2 linked regions of the Elephas maximus indicus genome follow. The protein of the gene in region 1 interacts with the protein of each later gene in a biochemical or structural test. Links are inferred from orthologs where the notes say so. Each region holds a gene or a part of one and is shown in the gene's direction. Other genes may lie near its edges.

Region 1 (6,615 bases):
ATAACCACAGGCATAGAGCTAGGATTTATAACACATAGGACAATTACGTCAGATCACAAAATGGAGGACAACCACACAATACTGAGAATCATGGCCTAGCCAAATTGACACATATTTTGGGGGGACACAATTCAATCCATGCCACTCTCCCTTGAGAAAAGAGTAAGGGACTTTTGTCTGTGGGAGGAGAGTGAGCCAAACATTTGGTGAAGAGAAAAGGAGACTGTTAAGAGTCTAGTGTTGGTCCCCAAATATTCCTGGCTCTCTCCTTTTAAAACATTTGGCAGCATTACACAGATATGAAGTTAGGCATGGCCAACATCATGATATATGGAGAAAAGACTGAAGTCGTCAAGGATTTCATTTTACTTAGATCCAAAATCAACACCTAACAACAACATGGCCATGTGGCTTGCTTTGGCCAACAATATATGAGCAGAAGTGATGTGTGACACTTCCGGGTGGGTGTGCTGAGAGCCCGTTCTCTACCCCCAGCCAAAATAATTGTGAGAAGCATGTGTCAAGGTGAAGCTTCCTTCTGTCTGAGTCTTTTGAGTGACTACACTGAATAGAGCTCCCCTTCAGACCCACATAGGACAAGTAGCATGAGCAAAAAATAAACTTTGACTGTAACCCAATGAAAGCCGCTGAGATGTTAGGGCTTGTTACGGCAGCATAAAGCCAGCCTTTCCTGGCTGATACTGGGAGTGAGAGGAGAGATTGGGGAAAGCAGGAGCTAAAATGTAAAGCTCCCCTTCTCCTAGGCAAAGGAGTCTGAACTCTCTTCTGTAGTAAAACCAAAAAAACCAAACCCACTGCCATCAAGTCGATTCCAACTCACAGTGACCCTGTAGGACAGAGTAGAACCGTCCTATAGGATTTCCAGGGCTGTAAACCCTGGTGGCGTAGCGGTTAAGTGCTACAGTTGCTAACCAAGAGGTCGGCAGTTCAAATCCACCAGGTGCTCCTTGGAAACTCTATGGGGCAGTTCTACTCTATCCTATAGGGTCGCTATGAGTCGGAATCGACTCTACTGCAGTGGGTTTGGTTTTGGTTTAAATCTTTACAGAAGCAGATTGCCACATCTTTCTCCCTCAGAGCAGCCAGTGGGTTCGAACCGGCAACCTTTCAGTTAGCAGATAAGAGCTTAATAACTATGCCACCAGGTCTCCTTCTTCTGTAGTAAGGGGGAAGCCAATGAAGGCTTCTAAGCAGGGGCGTTATCATGAACAGATTTGTTATTTCGGGGGGATGAAATATGCCATTTCTCAGCATAAGGAGAAAATCAGCCTACTAAATCACATAAGGCAGAGAGAACACACAGAACCCTTAGGCAAAGGATATATATTTATCCACACTCCTAAGTCTAAATACGGGAGCTTTGAAAGGAGTTACCGTCAGAGATCAGGCAAGATGACTTCCCCTCTCCCACAAGCTCCATTTCTTCTGCAGGCAACTAATACTTCACAAGAAAGTTTATCAGAGCCAAGAAGATACAATAAGGAAATTAATACAAATCCGAGGTCAATTTTCAACTGCCTGTGTGTCCTGAACAAGATACTTGAAATCTCTGGGCCTATTTCCTCACATGTTAAACACAAATGATAATAATATATGCTTATCAAGATGGCTGTGGGGAGAAAACAGCATATTTAAATTGCTTAGGAGAATGTCTGGAAAATACTCATTCAATACATGAAAATCATTTTTATTACGGTGATATTAAAAATTAAGAATACCAGCTCTCTGGTTATAAAATGTAACAGAAAATAATTCATGGCAACAGTATAGAGGACAGTGTTTCCTCCTTAAGGGAAGGAACTGGATTTTGCCATCGTTGCATCCCTACCCCTCCCGCCTCCTCACATTTTGTCCCAGCTCAGTGCTTGGCTCACAGTAGCTACTTAGGTATCCTCTCCCACACGAATGAATGAAGAGTTGAGTGCCTCAAGTGAAAAAAAATCGGCGGATTCTCCACCAACACCAGCTGCTGTTGATTCTGAACTTTCAAAGCCACAAATACCTTAAGGCTGGGGGCTATGAACTCAAGACTGAATTCCCCCGAGTTCAGAGGCAGAAAAGTCAGAATAAGTACCTAGGAACTTCAACTACTACAGATCCAACTTCAAACCCTAGACCTAGAGAGGCGGCCTGGGAAAGAGTTGCCTTCTAACCGGATCCACCCTCACTCACCTCCTCCCCTCAGTGTTCCTCACTGGAAAGCAGACCTTGTCCTGCCAAATTACACTCTTATGTCCTGGCATTCCATCCTCCTACAATGCTTTGGGAAACTTGGAGGAAGGTCAAGGAATGGGTGTTTGGCGACCACCTCCTTAGCCACGGAGGCAAGATGATACACTAACGCCTGCAGCCCAGGGAAGCAGATCTAACCAGCTAACTTGCAGATGAGGGAAGTGAAGCACAGAGAAGTTCAGTGATCGCTCACTTACACTGTGGCAGCACGGGGCAGACAGAACGCAGGATTCCCGACTTCGGTATTCCTTCCACCATACATTTTGTCACTGAAGTGGGGAGGAGTGAGGGGGCGGGGCAGATAAATAACCACCACAGAAAGCAACCACTTATATGTGTCTAGCGCTTCCTAGAGGCTGCACAAGGTATCAGCTCACCACCCAGCAGGGAGTCGAGAGATTTTTAAGCTCCTGAGTCGCTGCGTGACTTTTGGCGAGTCTCTGCCGCTTTCGACACTTGTTTTCCCCGAAGCAAATCAGGGCGGGTGTGTGTGTGTGTGTGTGTGGTGTGTGTGCAGGGTGGGGTGTGTGGTAGAAGATCACCGGGGTTCCCAGAATTTCGGAATCCCTAAACGCTTGTTCCGAAATGGACGCTGAGTTGCCCCCTGATTCTTCCCCCTGTAAAAACCTCACCTCCAAGGCAAAGCTGTAAACTCCTGCAACCCTCTTCCCCCCAGGGTCCCCGAAGGGTGACGTGAGGTGCAGCGGGACTTAGCGGAGCGCCCAGTTTCAAGCAATGCAAACCACTCGGCTCTGGGCACTGCCAGAGAGCGGAGAGGACGGTCGCTCGTGAACTTGAACGAGAGACAAACTTCAGAGCGTCCTCAACGTGGGGGGTCAACCCCCGTGCGACCAGCCCTAAACTTGGGCCCACTTAAGCTCACCCCCACGGGGGACTAAACAGAGCCACCTTAAGGGCGGCGCTCCCGCCCCCGGAAGTGCGGGGGGGTCACCGACGCGGGCTCCCAGCCTCCCAACCCCGCGCGGCGAAATGCCTCGGCCAACTTCGCGCCTCCCAAGTGGCGAAAAACCACACATCACCCCACACCCTCGGCCCCAGACAACTACCCCGGTCCCCCAGCCTTCCGGGGCCCCGCATCCCCTGCATCTCGGTCCCGAGCTTGAGCCCGCCTGGGTCAGAGGCTGGGAGAGTCCTCCCGCTCGCGGCAGCCACCGTCACCAGACAGTCAAACCCCAAGACGTCAGCCCACAATGCACCGGGCGGGCCGGGAAGGACTGGCCTGGGAGGAGAAGGGGGAGAGAAGGGCCAGAGTCGCGCGGGAGGGGGGGGGGGAGGGGGGAGAGGACGAGAAAGAAGGGCCCAACTGTAGGAGGGCAGCGGAGCATTACCTCATCCCGTGAGCCTCCGCGGGTCCGGAGAAGAATCTTCTAGGGTGGGGTCTCCATGGTGACGGGCGGGCCCGCCCCCTTGAGAGCGACACGAGCCAATGGGAAGGCCTCCGGGTGACATCATGGGCTATTTTTAGGGGTTGACTGGTAGCAGATAAGTGTTGAGCTCCGGGCTGGATAAGGGCTCAGAGTTGCACTGAGTGTGGCTGAAGCAGCGAGGCGGGAGTGGAGGCGCGCGGACTGAGACAGACAGACAGAGACAGTCAGTCAGGAAGGCAGCAGAGTCTGAACTGCAAATCTTCTTTTCTTTTCCATTTTCTCGCTAACCGCCCAGAGCTAGCGCCTGTGGCTTCCGGGCTGGTGTTTTGGGGAGCGCCCGGAGAGCCCCTTCTCCAGTAGCCCCGGGAAGAGAGCACCGCTGCCCGGGCGTTGACAGCCGCGGAGAGCTGTGACTGCCCGCCAGCCGGGGGAAGTCCAGCGAGCGGCTGCAGCGGCAAAGAACTTTCCCAGCCGAGAGGAGAGGGGACAAGTGGTACCCGGGTCCCGAAGCGAACGTTTGCAAACCTTTCCTCTTAAGCTGCCGCAGCGGCGATAAAGAAGAAGGCGGCAGGAGAGGAAAGAGAGGAGGGACGCGCGTCCAGCTTCGCTCACACCGGTTGCTGAACTTGGGCGAGCGAGAGCTGCTGGTGCCAGGAGCCCCCTCCCCTCGCAGCGGAGGAGGGGAGAGTCGTCGGAGTCGGGGCGGCTGCGACCCGCCGCCGGCTCGCCACTGCCGGATCTGCACTAAGCGGCACCGCTTCGAGACCGCTGTCCCCGGGAAGCGAGTTCGTCCGAGCAACCACTGCGCCCGCTGAGCGCTCAGTGAGTGACCGCGACTTTTCAAAGAGAGGCAGCGCGCGAGAGCGGAGAAGGAAGGGTGCAGGCGGCATCTTAAGCCTGCGTTCTCTGGAGCGAGCTGGTGAGGAGGGCGCTGGGGGGAGGACAGCCAGCGTGTGCGCGCGCTCTTAGAGAAACTTTCCTTGCCAAAGGCCGCGGGAGGCGCGGGTACCCCTCGCTTGCCAACGCGCTGTTGCGGCCCCGAAACTTCTGCGCGCAGCCCAAACTAACCCCACGTGAAGTGACGGACTCTTCTATGACTGCAAAGATGGAAACGACCTTCTATGACGATGCCCTCAACGTCTCCTTCCTCCAGTCCGAGAGCGGCGCCTACGGCTACAGTAACCCCAAGATCCTGAAACAGAGCATGACCCTGAACCTGGCTGACCCGGTGGGCAGCCTGAAGCCGCACCTCCGCGCCAAGAACTCGGACCTCCTCACCTCGCCCGACGTCGGGCTGCTCAAGTTGGCGTCGCCCGAGCTGGAGCGCCTGATTATCCAGTCCAGCAACGGGCACATCACCACCACGCCGACCCCTACCCAGTTCCTGTGCCCCAAGAACGTGACGGACGAGCAGGAGGGCTTCGCCGAGGGCTTCGTGCGCGCCCTGGCCGAACTGCACAGCCAGAACACTTTGCCAAGCGTCACGTCCGCGGCGCAGCCGGTCAGCGGGGCGGGCATGGTGGCCCCGGCGGTGGCTTCCGTGGCGGGCGGCAGCGGCGGTTTCAGCGCCAGCCTGCACAGCGAGCCGCCAGTCTACGCCAACCTTAGCAACTTCAACCCGGGCGCGTTGAGCAGCGGCGGCGGGGCGCCCTCCTATGGCGCCGGCGGCCTGGCCTTTCCCGCGCAGCCCCAACAGCAGCCGCAGCCGCCACATCACCTGCCCCAGCAGATCCCCGTGCAGCACCCTCGACTCCAGGCCCTAAAGGAGGAGCCGCAGACGGTCCCCGAGATGCCCGGGGAGACGCCGCCCCTGTCCCCCATCGACATGGAGTCACAGGAGCGGATCAAGGCGGAAAGGAAGCGCATGAGGAACCGCATCGCTGCCTCCAAGTGCCGGAAAAGAAAGCTGGAGAGGATCGCCCGGCTGGAGGAAAAAGTGAAAACTTTGAAAGCGCAGAACTCGGAGCTGGCGTCCACGGCCAATATGCTCAGGGAACAGGTGGCACAGCTTAAACAGAAAGTCATGAACCACGTTAATAGTGGGTGCCAACTCATGCTAACGCAGCAGTTGCAAACGTTTTGAAGAGAGACTGTCGGGGGTTGAGGGGAAACGGAGACAAACAAATAACAGAGACAGACTTGAGAACTTGACAAGTTGCGAGAGAGAGAAAAAAGAAGTGTCCGAGGACTAAAGCCAAGGGTATCCAAGTTGGACTGGGTTGCGTCCTGACGGCGCCCCCAGTGTGCACGAGTGGGAAGGACTTGGCGCGCCCTCCCTTGGCGTGGAGCCAGGGAGCAGCAGCCTGCGGGCTGCCCCGCTTTGCGGACGGGCAGTCCCCGCGCGAACGGAACGTTAGACTTTTCTTTAACATTGACCAAGAACTGCATGGACCTAACATTCGATCTCATTCAGTATTAAAAGGGGGGTGGGGGAGGGGTTACAAACTGCAATAGAGACTGTAGATTGCTTCTGTAGTACTCCTTAAGAACACAAAGGGAGGTGGGTGGGGAGGGGAGGCGGGAGGGAGGTGTGTGAGAGGGAAGCTGAGCCTACAGATGAACTCTTTCTGGCCTGCCTTCGTTAACTGTGTATGTACATATATTTTTTTTTAATTTGATGAAAGCTGATTACTGTCAATAAACAGCTTCATGACTTTGTAAGTTATTTCATGTTTGTTTGTTTGTTTGGGTGTCCTGCCCAGTGTTGTTTGTAAATAAGAGATTTGGAGCACTCTCTGAGTTTACCATTTGTAATTTGTAATAAAGTATATAATTTTTTTTATGTTTTGTTTCTGAAAATTCCAGAAAGGATATTTAAGAAAATACAATAAAATATTGAAAAAATACTCCCCACCAACCTCTTTTCTGCATTATCTATAGATTAACCATCTAAGCGGAGTTGAAAGAGTTAGGAGTGTCAATTAAAATCATTCTCAATGCTTACTATCAAGCAATAAAACCTATTCTATATTGG
Region 2 (6,932 bases), about 75 Mb from region 1:
GACACCCCAATAGTGATGACCATATCTTGCACTCCAATCTTGGTTTCTAAATACAATCCTCCAATAAAAAGAACTAGGCCTTCTGGGAAAAACGAGTTGGTTCCAGGGCTTGGGCAGGGAAAATACAAGATGAGCCTGGAGCAATCTGTGGTGCCAGAAAGTAGGAAGTGCCCAAATAAAAAAGGATGGGAGTGTGTTGAGAGAGCACAGGAACCAAACTGAAAGGGCTCCAAATGGCCAAACCTGGAACAACTTGAGCAACAAAGTAATGATGGTATTGAATTATAATCCAAAGAATAAAATAATTTTGAGCCCATTTTAACTAAAAAAAAAAAAAGCTGCCACTGAGTCAACTCCGACTCATGGTGAACCCATGTATGTCAGAGTAGAACTGCTTCATAGGGTTTTCAGGGGTAGATTTTTCAGAAGTAGATTGCCAGGCCTTCCTTCCGATGTACCTCTGGGTGGACTCGAACCACCAGCCTTTTGGTTGGTAGCCAAGCAGCTAACCGTTTGTACCACCCAGGGACTTGAATATCCAAAAACTAACTGAAGAAATAAATGTGGAGAAAGGAGAACCTTTTCTTACAGGAGGATTCCAATAAATAAATGTGGAAGTATAGAAATGAGAAATCACCATTGGACACCACAGCACTAATTGCCATAGGCAAGATCCACTGTTAAAAAAAAAAAAAAACCAAACCCAGTGCTGCCAAGTCAATTCCGACTCATAGTGACCCACTGTTAGATGGTAAAATTTTGTGGTCAGAATTTAAGCAGAAGTAGGATATTTGCATAATCTTGAAGTATCTGCCTTAAATATTAATTACAAAGGGAAAAACAGTAAGTTTAGATACCGCCTTAAGGAAATGGTCAAAGTTAATATATGTGGTATGCAACCCCTGAAATGACTCCTAATGATCCCCACATTCTGGTATTCACAACCTTGTATAATCCCCTCCTCTTGAGTGTAGGTGATGGGATGCAATTTCTGAGATAGGTTCCAAAGAGACTGGCTTCCATCCTGCTTGCTCTCTTGCTTTCTTATTTGTTCTGTGATGAAAATCAGCAGCCATGTTGTGAGCTGCCTTATGGAGAGACCACCAGCCAAAGCCAGTGAAGAATATAGCCCTCAGTCCAACTTCTTGTGAGGAACTGAATCTTGCCAACAATCCCTGCCCCAGTCAAGCCTTCAGATGAGACTGCAACCATCTCTGCCAACACCTGATTACAGTCTGTTAAGAGACCTTGAGGCAGAAGCATCCTGCTAAAGTGCCTGGACTACTGACTCAACAGAAACAGATAATAAATGTTCATTCACTAAGTTGTGGGTGATTTGTTATGTGGCAGTCCATACCTAAGACAATCAGTAACACATTTCAAAATCATCTACCACTTGATATGATGCACCAGGAAGGGCACATTGCTTCTGGTATTCTTCCTGGTGATACATAATTCAATTTAATTGTGAGAAATTAGACAAACACATCATGACAATATTGGAATGAGAGACATTCTACTCTTCAGAAGAGTCTGTCATGAAAGACAAGGAACTGTCACATATTGGAGGAGACATGACAATGAGAGATTCTGAAACCAAAAAAAAAAAAAAATATTCAAAAACCTGGGGAAATCTAGAAAAAAGTCTGTAGTATAGCTAATAGTATTGTACTGATGTTTATTTCTTAGATTTGATAATTTTTCTATGGCAGGTTTTCTCAACCTTGGCATTATTGACATTTTGGGCTGGATAATTCTTGTATGTAGGGGTGCTGTGTAGTGTAGGATGTTTAGCCAGCATCTTTGGCCTCTGTTAGGGATTGAATTGTATCCCCCTAAAATGTGTGTCAACTTGGCTAGGCCATGACTCCCTGTATTGTGTGGTGGTTCACCATTTTGTCATCTGATGTGATTACCCTTTGTGTTGTAAATCCTAATCTCTATGATGTTAATGAGACAGGATTAGAGACAGTTATCTTAATGAGGCAGGAGGCAATCTACAGGATTAGGTTGTACTTTGAATCTCTTTTGAGATATAAAAGAATCAAGAAGAGAGGAGAGGGACCTCATACCACCAAGAAAGAAGTGCCAGGAGCAGAGTGCTTCCTTTGGACCCAGGTTCCCTGCACTGAGAATCTCCTAGATCAGGGGAAGATTGATGACAAAGACCTTCCCCCAGAACTGAGAGAGAAAGCCTTTCCCTGGAGCTGCTGCCCTGAATTTGGACTTCTAGACTCCTAGACTGTGAGGGAATAAATTTCTCTTTGTTAAAGCCATCCACTTGTATTTCTGTTACAGCAGCACTAGATAACTAAAACAACCTCTACCCACTAGATGCCAGTAGTATCCCCGCCCTCCACCCCCCCCATCTGTGACAACAAAAATGTCTGAAGACATTGCCAGCTGTCCCCTGGGGGGCAAAAGTGCCCTGGTTGAATACTATTTTATTGTTATGTAAGATGCTAACAGAAGGGAAAGCTGGGTGAAGAGTATTTGGGAACTCTAGTACTGGGTTTGGTTTTGGTGGTATGACTTGCTTTTTTCACCCAGCATCATTTAAACGTCACGTCAAACTGATGAACCAAACCCATTGCCATCAAGTCGATTCCAACTCATAGAGACCCTATAGGTCAGAGTAGAACTGCCCCATAGGGTTTCCAAGGAGTGCCTGGTGGATTTGAACTACTGACCTTTTGGTTAGCAGCTGTAGCACTTAACCACTGTGCCACCAGGGTTTCCATCAATCTGATGAGGTATGTATTATTTCTCATCCCCCTTTTGTAGATGGGGAAGCTGAAGTGCAGAAGCTAAGTAATTTGCTCAAGGTCATAGCAAGTGGCTAAGTGGAGTTTTGAGTCCAAGCAGTGTGGCTCCAGGGTGTGCTTTTAACCTTCTATCATATCCTGCCTCTAATTTGTTCTGGACTTGATTCCCTATGCGTTCATGTCACTGTGCAACATTTTTTAAATGGTCATTATAGGGTACACGCTACAGATAACTGTCATTGAACTCTTCTCTTAATGTCTGACTTCTGTATCTCTCTCCCGCCTGCAATTCCCCAGAGCTGAGTCTCCAACCACCTACTCAATGCCCCACGGGCACCGCAGACTCGATTTTAAACTGACTCAAACTGAGCTCATCATCCTTCCCTCTCCGCCCTACCCACGCCTTCCCCCCCCCCGCAAAGTGTTCCCACCTGAGTGGCAATGCCAGCACCCATCAGCCACCCAGGACGAGGGAAGATTGAGATTGACAGAGAATGTGATGTAAGTAGGTCCCAAAGGAGATGTAAGGTGTTTGGGTCAGTAGCATAGGGAAGTGTTAGCCTTGCACAGAATAAAAGGGGGACGGGTTAGCTTTGGACATCTGGAGGAAACAGGTGGGACGAGGGAGGATGGAGAAGCCAAATTTAGGCTTCTGGATTCTTAGCCACTCCTCACCAAGGTAACTGGGTTGCTATGGCAACAGGACAGTCAGCACCGCAACTCCCAAGTACCTCGTCGGCTGCCGTTATCCCCATACTAGCCAGACACTTCCGCTTGGGTAGAAATCAAGGGATTGCCAGCCTTCAGGAATGGTTTACGAAGGCGGGAATAGCCACTGCGGTAGCCAATCAGTAAGCTCTTTCCTGCCCGAGCGGGCTGTGCGGCGAAGGACGCAAAGGAGTGGTCGGGACTTCTTTGGAGCTCGCCTAAGGGCGTTGAGAAGGGCCGGCTTGAGTCCCTTCCCTGCCACTTAGGGGCCGAGGGGGCGGGGCCCAGATAAGATGTGGGAGGAGCCGCCCACCCTCGCTTCTGTCCAATAAGAAGCCAGGAAGGGAGTCCCGACGGTTGGGGTATCCAGTGAGCGTCGCCCCAAGGTCCGGGTGCGGGGGCGCACCGAGCCAATCGGCGGTGGCGGCGGGCGGGCGCGGGAGACCTAGGCGGTGCGGCGGAGGCGGAGCGGGCGCTGCGGCAGGAGCGAAGATGGCGGACGAAGAGAAGCTGCCGCCCGGCTGGGAGAAGCGCATGAGCCGCAGCTCAGGTGCCTCAGGGGCTGGGGCTGGGGTAGGATCGCGCGGGCCCATGGAAGCAGGGATCGAGCTTGCCCTTCGGGCGCGGCGCCGCCGCTTCTTTCCTGTGGGGTTTTGGCTTCTCTGCGTCGATCCCGGGGAACGGCCCGGGCACATTCGGTGGCTGCTGTGGGCCTCAGGAGTGGGGAAGCTGAGGCACGGCGGCGCCAGGGAGGCTTAGCGCGCTGAGGGGTGGGTGAGGGGCCGGTGAGCTCACACACTTCCCGGGCGATGGCCCTGTCCCTGCCCACCCGGCCGACACGCCCGGGCCTAATTCGGCTGAAGTCCCGTGGGTGGACATCTTTACATCCCTCCGGGCCCGGAGGCATCACAGGGGCGACACCCCAACCCCATCCACAGGATGTGGCCCCAGCGTGTTTCCCGACCCAGAAGCCATAACCCCTGGCGTCCACATCTAATGCTGAGTCTGCAATGTCCCCCGTTATCCTGCTTGAGGCTGGCCCCTGTGCCCTGGGCTGAATTTAAAGGTTATCGCCAATAGTAGGCCACGTTTATCTCTGCTCCAGGCATTGTGCCAAGCATTTTAAGCGTGTTCTCTCCAAATCGCCACAACTGTGGGAGGGAGGTAGTTGTTACCTCCATTTTGTAGGTGAAGAAACTGAGGCCAGAACTTAAGGAACTCGCCTGAGGTCATTCAGTTCAGGGAGCGTAGACTGGGCTCCAGAGCTGCCTGCCCACAGCCACTTCACTGCAAGCTCTGGAGGAGCAAGCCCACTTCCTGGTTGTGTTTGGGGAGTCACTGCATTGCCTCAAAGTCTCTAGTAACCTCAGTAATAATTCCTGTTTACTTGGAGTGTTTGGAAACCCTAGTGGCATGTGGTTAAGAGCTATGGCTGCTAACCAAAAGGTCTGCAGCTCGAATCCACAATGCGCTCCTTGGAAACCCTGTAGGGCAGTTCTACTTGTGCTATAGAGTTGCTATGAGTCAGAATCAACTCGATGGCAATGGGTTTGGTTCTGTTAGAGAGCTTACCATGTGTCTGGCACTCTGGTGAGCACTTCGTGTGCATCATCAACTCTCCACATTAATCCCATGAGATTTGATGTCCTTATTCTCTCACCCCCACTTTTCAGATGAGAAAGCAGAGATTCGGGGAGGTAGAGCCCATTGCCACGATTTTAGAGTTTAAGTCAGTGGCTCAACTGGATTTGCCCTCAGAGCCCATGCCATTGCCCACCCTGTTCCTGCCCTGGCCTTTGACTGGCACCTACAGCATAAACCTCATGCTCCGCCCACCTCTGGGCCCTCATTCATGCCATTTCTATTCAGCTGGACCCTGACAGCCTTCCTTGGGGGTGACAGCCGGTCCTTAATGGTGATGGGCCCAAGTGTGTGCATGGAACAGAGTAAACAGTAAGGAAGTGTTACCTGTTACTGCCATTACTAAAGATGGGGAAGGCGAGGCCTCAATTTTGTCATCTATAAAAGGAGATGATAACAGCTATCACACTGTTGATGTGTTCCAGGCGCTGTTTTAAGCCGTTTACAGATGTGAGCTTATTCAGTCTTTACAACAACCATACAGTCAGGTATTGTTATGTCCATTTTACAGGTGAGAAAACTGAGGTCCAGGGAAGGTAGATCATTGGGTAAGTGGCAGGGCTGGATTTGAACCCAGACAGGCGGTCTGCTGAATGAATGCTTTGAATCAGTCTCCTGTCTCCCAGGTTTGCCTTGTTCCGCCACCCTGGGTTATTTTCCTCCTTGAAGTTACCAGCGACTGAAGTTATCTTATTTGCTTGTTTAGTGTCTGTCTGCCCCCACTTAGAATGTTAGCTCCATAAGATAGGTGTTAAAAATGGCATGTTAGGGGCATCTGACCTTCTCTAACTTCGTGAGAGGGAGAGAGAATTGCCATCCACATCAGCCCCACGCTGATTCCTATGAGGGTGGAGGTCAGACATACTGCCTGTTTCCAGTCTTTTTACCAATTCTGACACCAGCTATACCTCCGACAGCACTCTCTGCTACTGTGCTGGGTTTGATAGTCCATTGCAGTGGCTAAACAGAACTCACAGATCATACTCATAGTTATGGGGTGTATTAGAGAAGTAGTTGTTGTTAGGTGCCGTCAAGTCAGTTCTGACTCATAGCAACCCTATGTACAATAGAACAAAACACTGCCTGGTCCAGTACCATCCTCAAAGTCGTTGCTGTTTGAGCCTGTTGGGTGCTCAGGCAAGTGTTAAACAAAGCTCTTTAGCTCTGCTAATAAGTACCCAGAGGCACTCCACTCCTCCAGGAAGGCTCCTGCCCAAAGGTGCTTAGCTCTCTCACTCCGTGGGTCAGCACACCCACTGTAACCGTATTACTCCGTGGGCTGGGAGGCCCACTGCACCATCTTGCACCAGCCTCCTGGTTCTTCTGCTGTTTCTCTGCTGCCACTTCTCGCTAAGTTGTACTTTTATAGCTCTCTATCTTTGTCTGTTGGGTCTAGGAGATTCTCAGCATGCTCTGCTCCCATTTCTTATTTTTGGTGGTAGTGAGGTCCTCCCTTTCCACCTATGGGATGGCTCATTTTAAGCCTAGTGGAATGGCAAAACTGACCAATCCCCTTGTTAGGGTTCCATACATCTTATTTACATGGTCCCACCCAATCATGTGGTGAGAGTTACAAGACCATGGCAAGAAAGGCCATATAAAAGCAATCCATCACGCTACAGCAGGGTTATGTCCTGCCAAGTTGGCTCCAGTGTCCCCGGGCCTGTGGCACATGGTGGGTGCACAGTTTATTTGCTTAATGAAGGCATGTCTGTACCCTGGCCTCTGGTTAGGGCTCCAGGGTGGCATCTGCGAGCACAGCCCTAACTGAATTCCCATCTCTCCTCCCTTCCAGGCCGGGTGTACTACTTCAATCAC

What was found.
Region 2: the proteins of JUN (region 1) and PIN1 form a complex in vitro, tested with the Homo sapiens proteins (2 studies listed by BioGRID). The link is inferred for Elephas maximus indicus from reciprocal best matches to the Homo sapiens genes JUN and PIN1.

The regions. Positions count from the first base shown.
Region 1 is NC_064821.1:103,111,778-103,118,392, reverse strand, and holds JUN (transcription factor Jun), read left to right. Parts: upstream 1-4,702; 5' UTR 4,703-4,734; coding exon 4,735-5,724; 3' UTR 5,725-6,079; downstream 6,080-6,615. UniProt on the Homo sapiens protein: Transcription factor that recognizes and binds to the AP-1 consensus motif 5'-TGA[GC]TCA-3'.
Region 2 is NC_064821.1:28,011,153-28,018,084, forward strand, and holds the start of PIN1 (peptidyl-prolyl cis-trans isomerase NIMA-interacting 1), read left to right. Parts: upstream 1-3,923; 5' UTR 3,924-3,965; coding exon 3,966-4,023; intron 4,024-6,909; coding exon 6,910-6,932. UniProt on the Homo sapiens protein: Peptidyl-prolyl cis/trans isomerase (PPIase) that binds to and isomerizes specific phosphorylated Ser/Thr-Pro (pSer/Thr-Pro) motifs.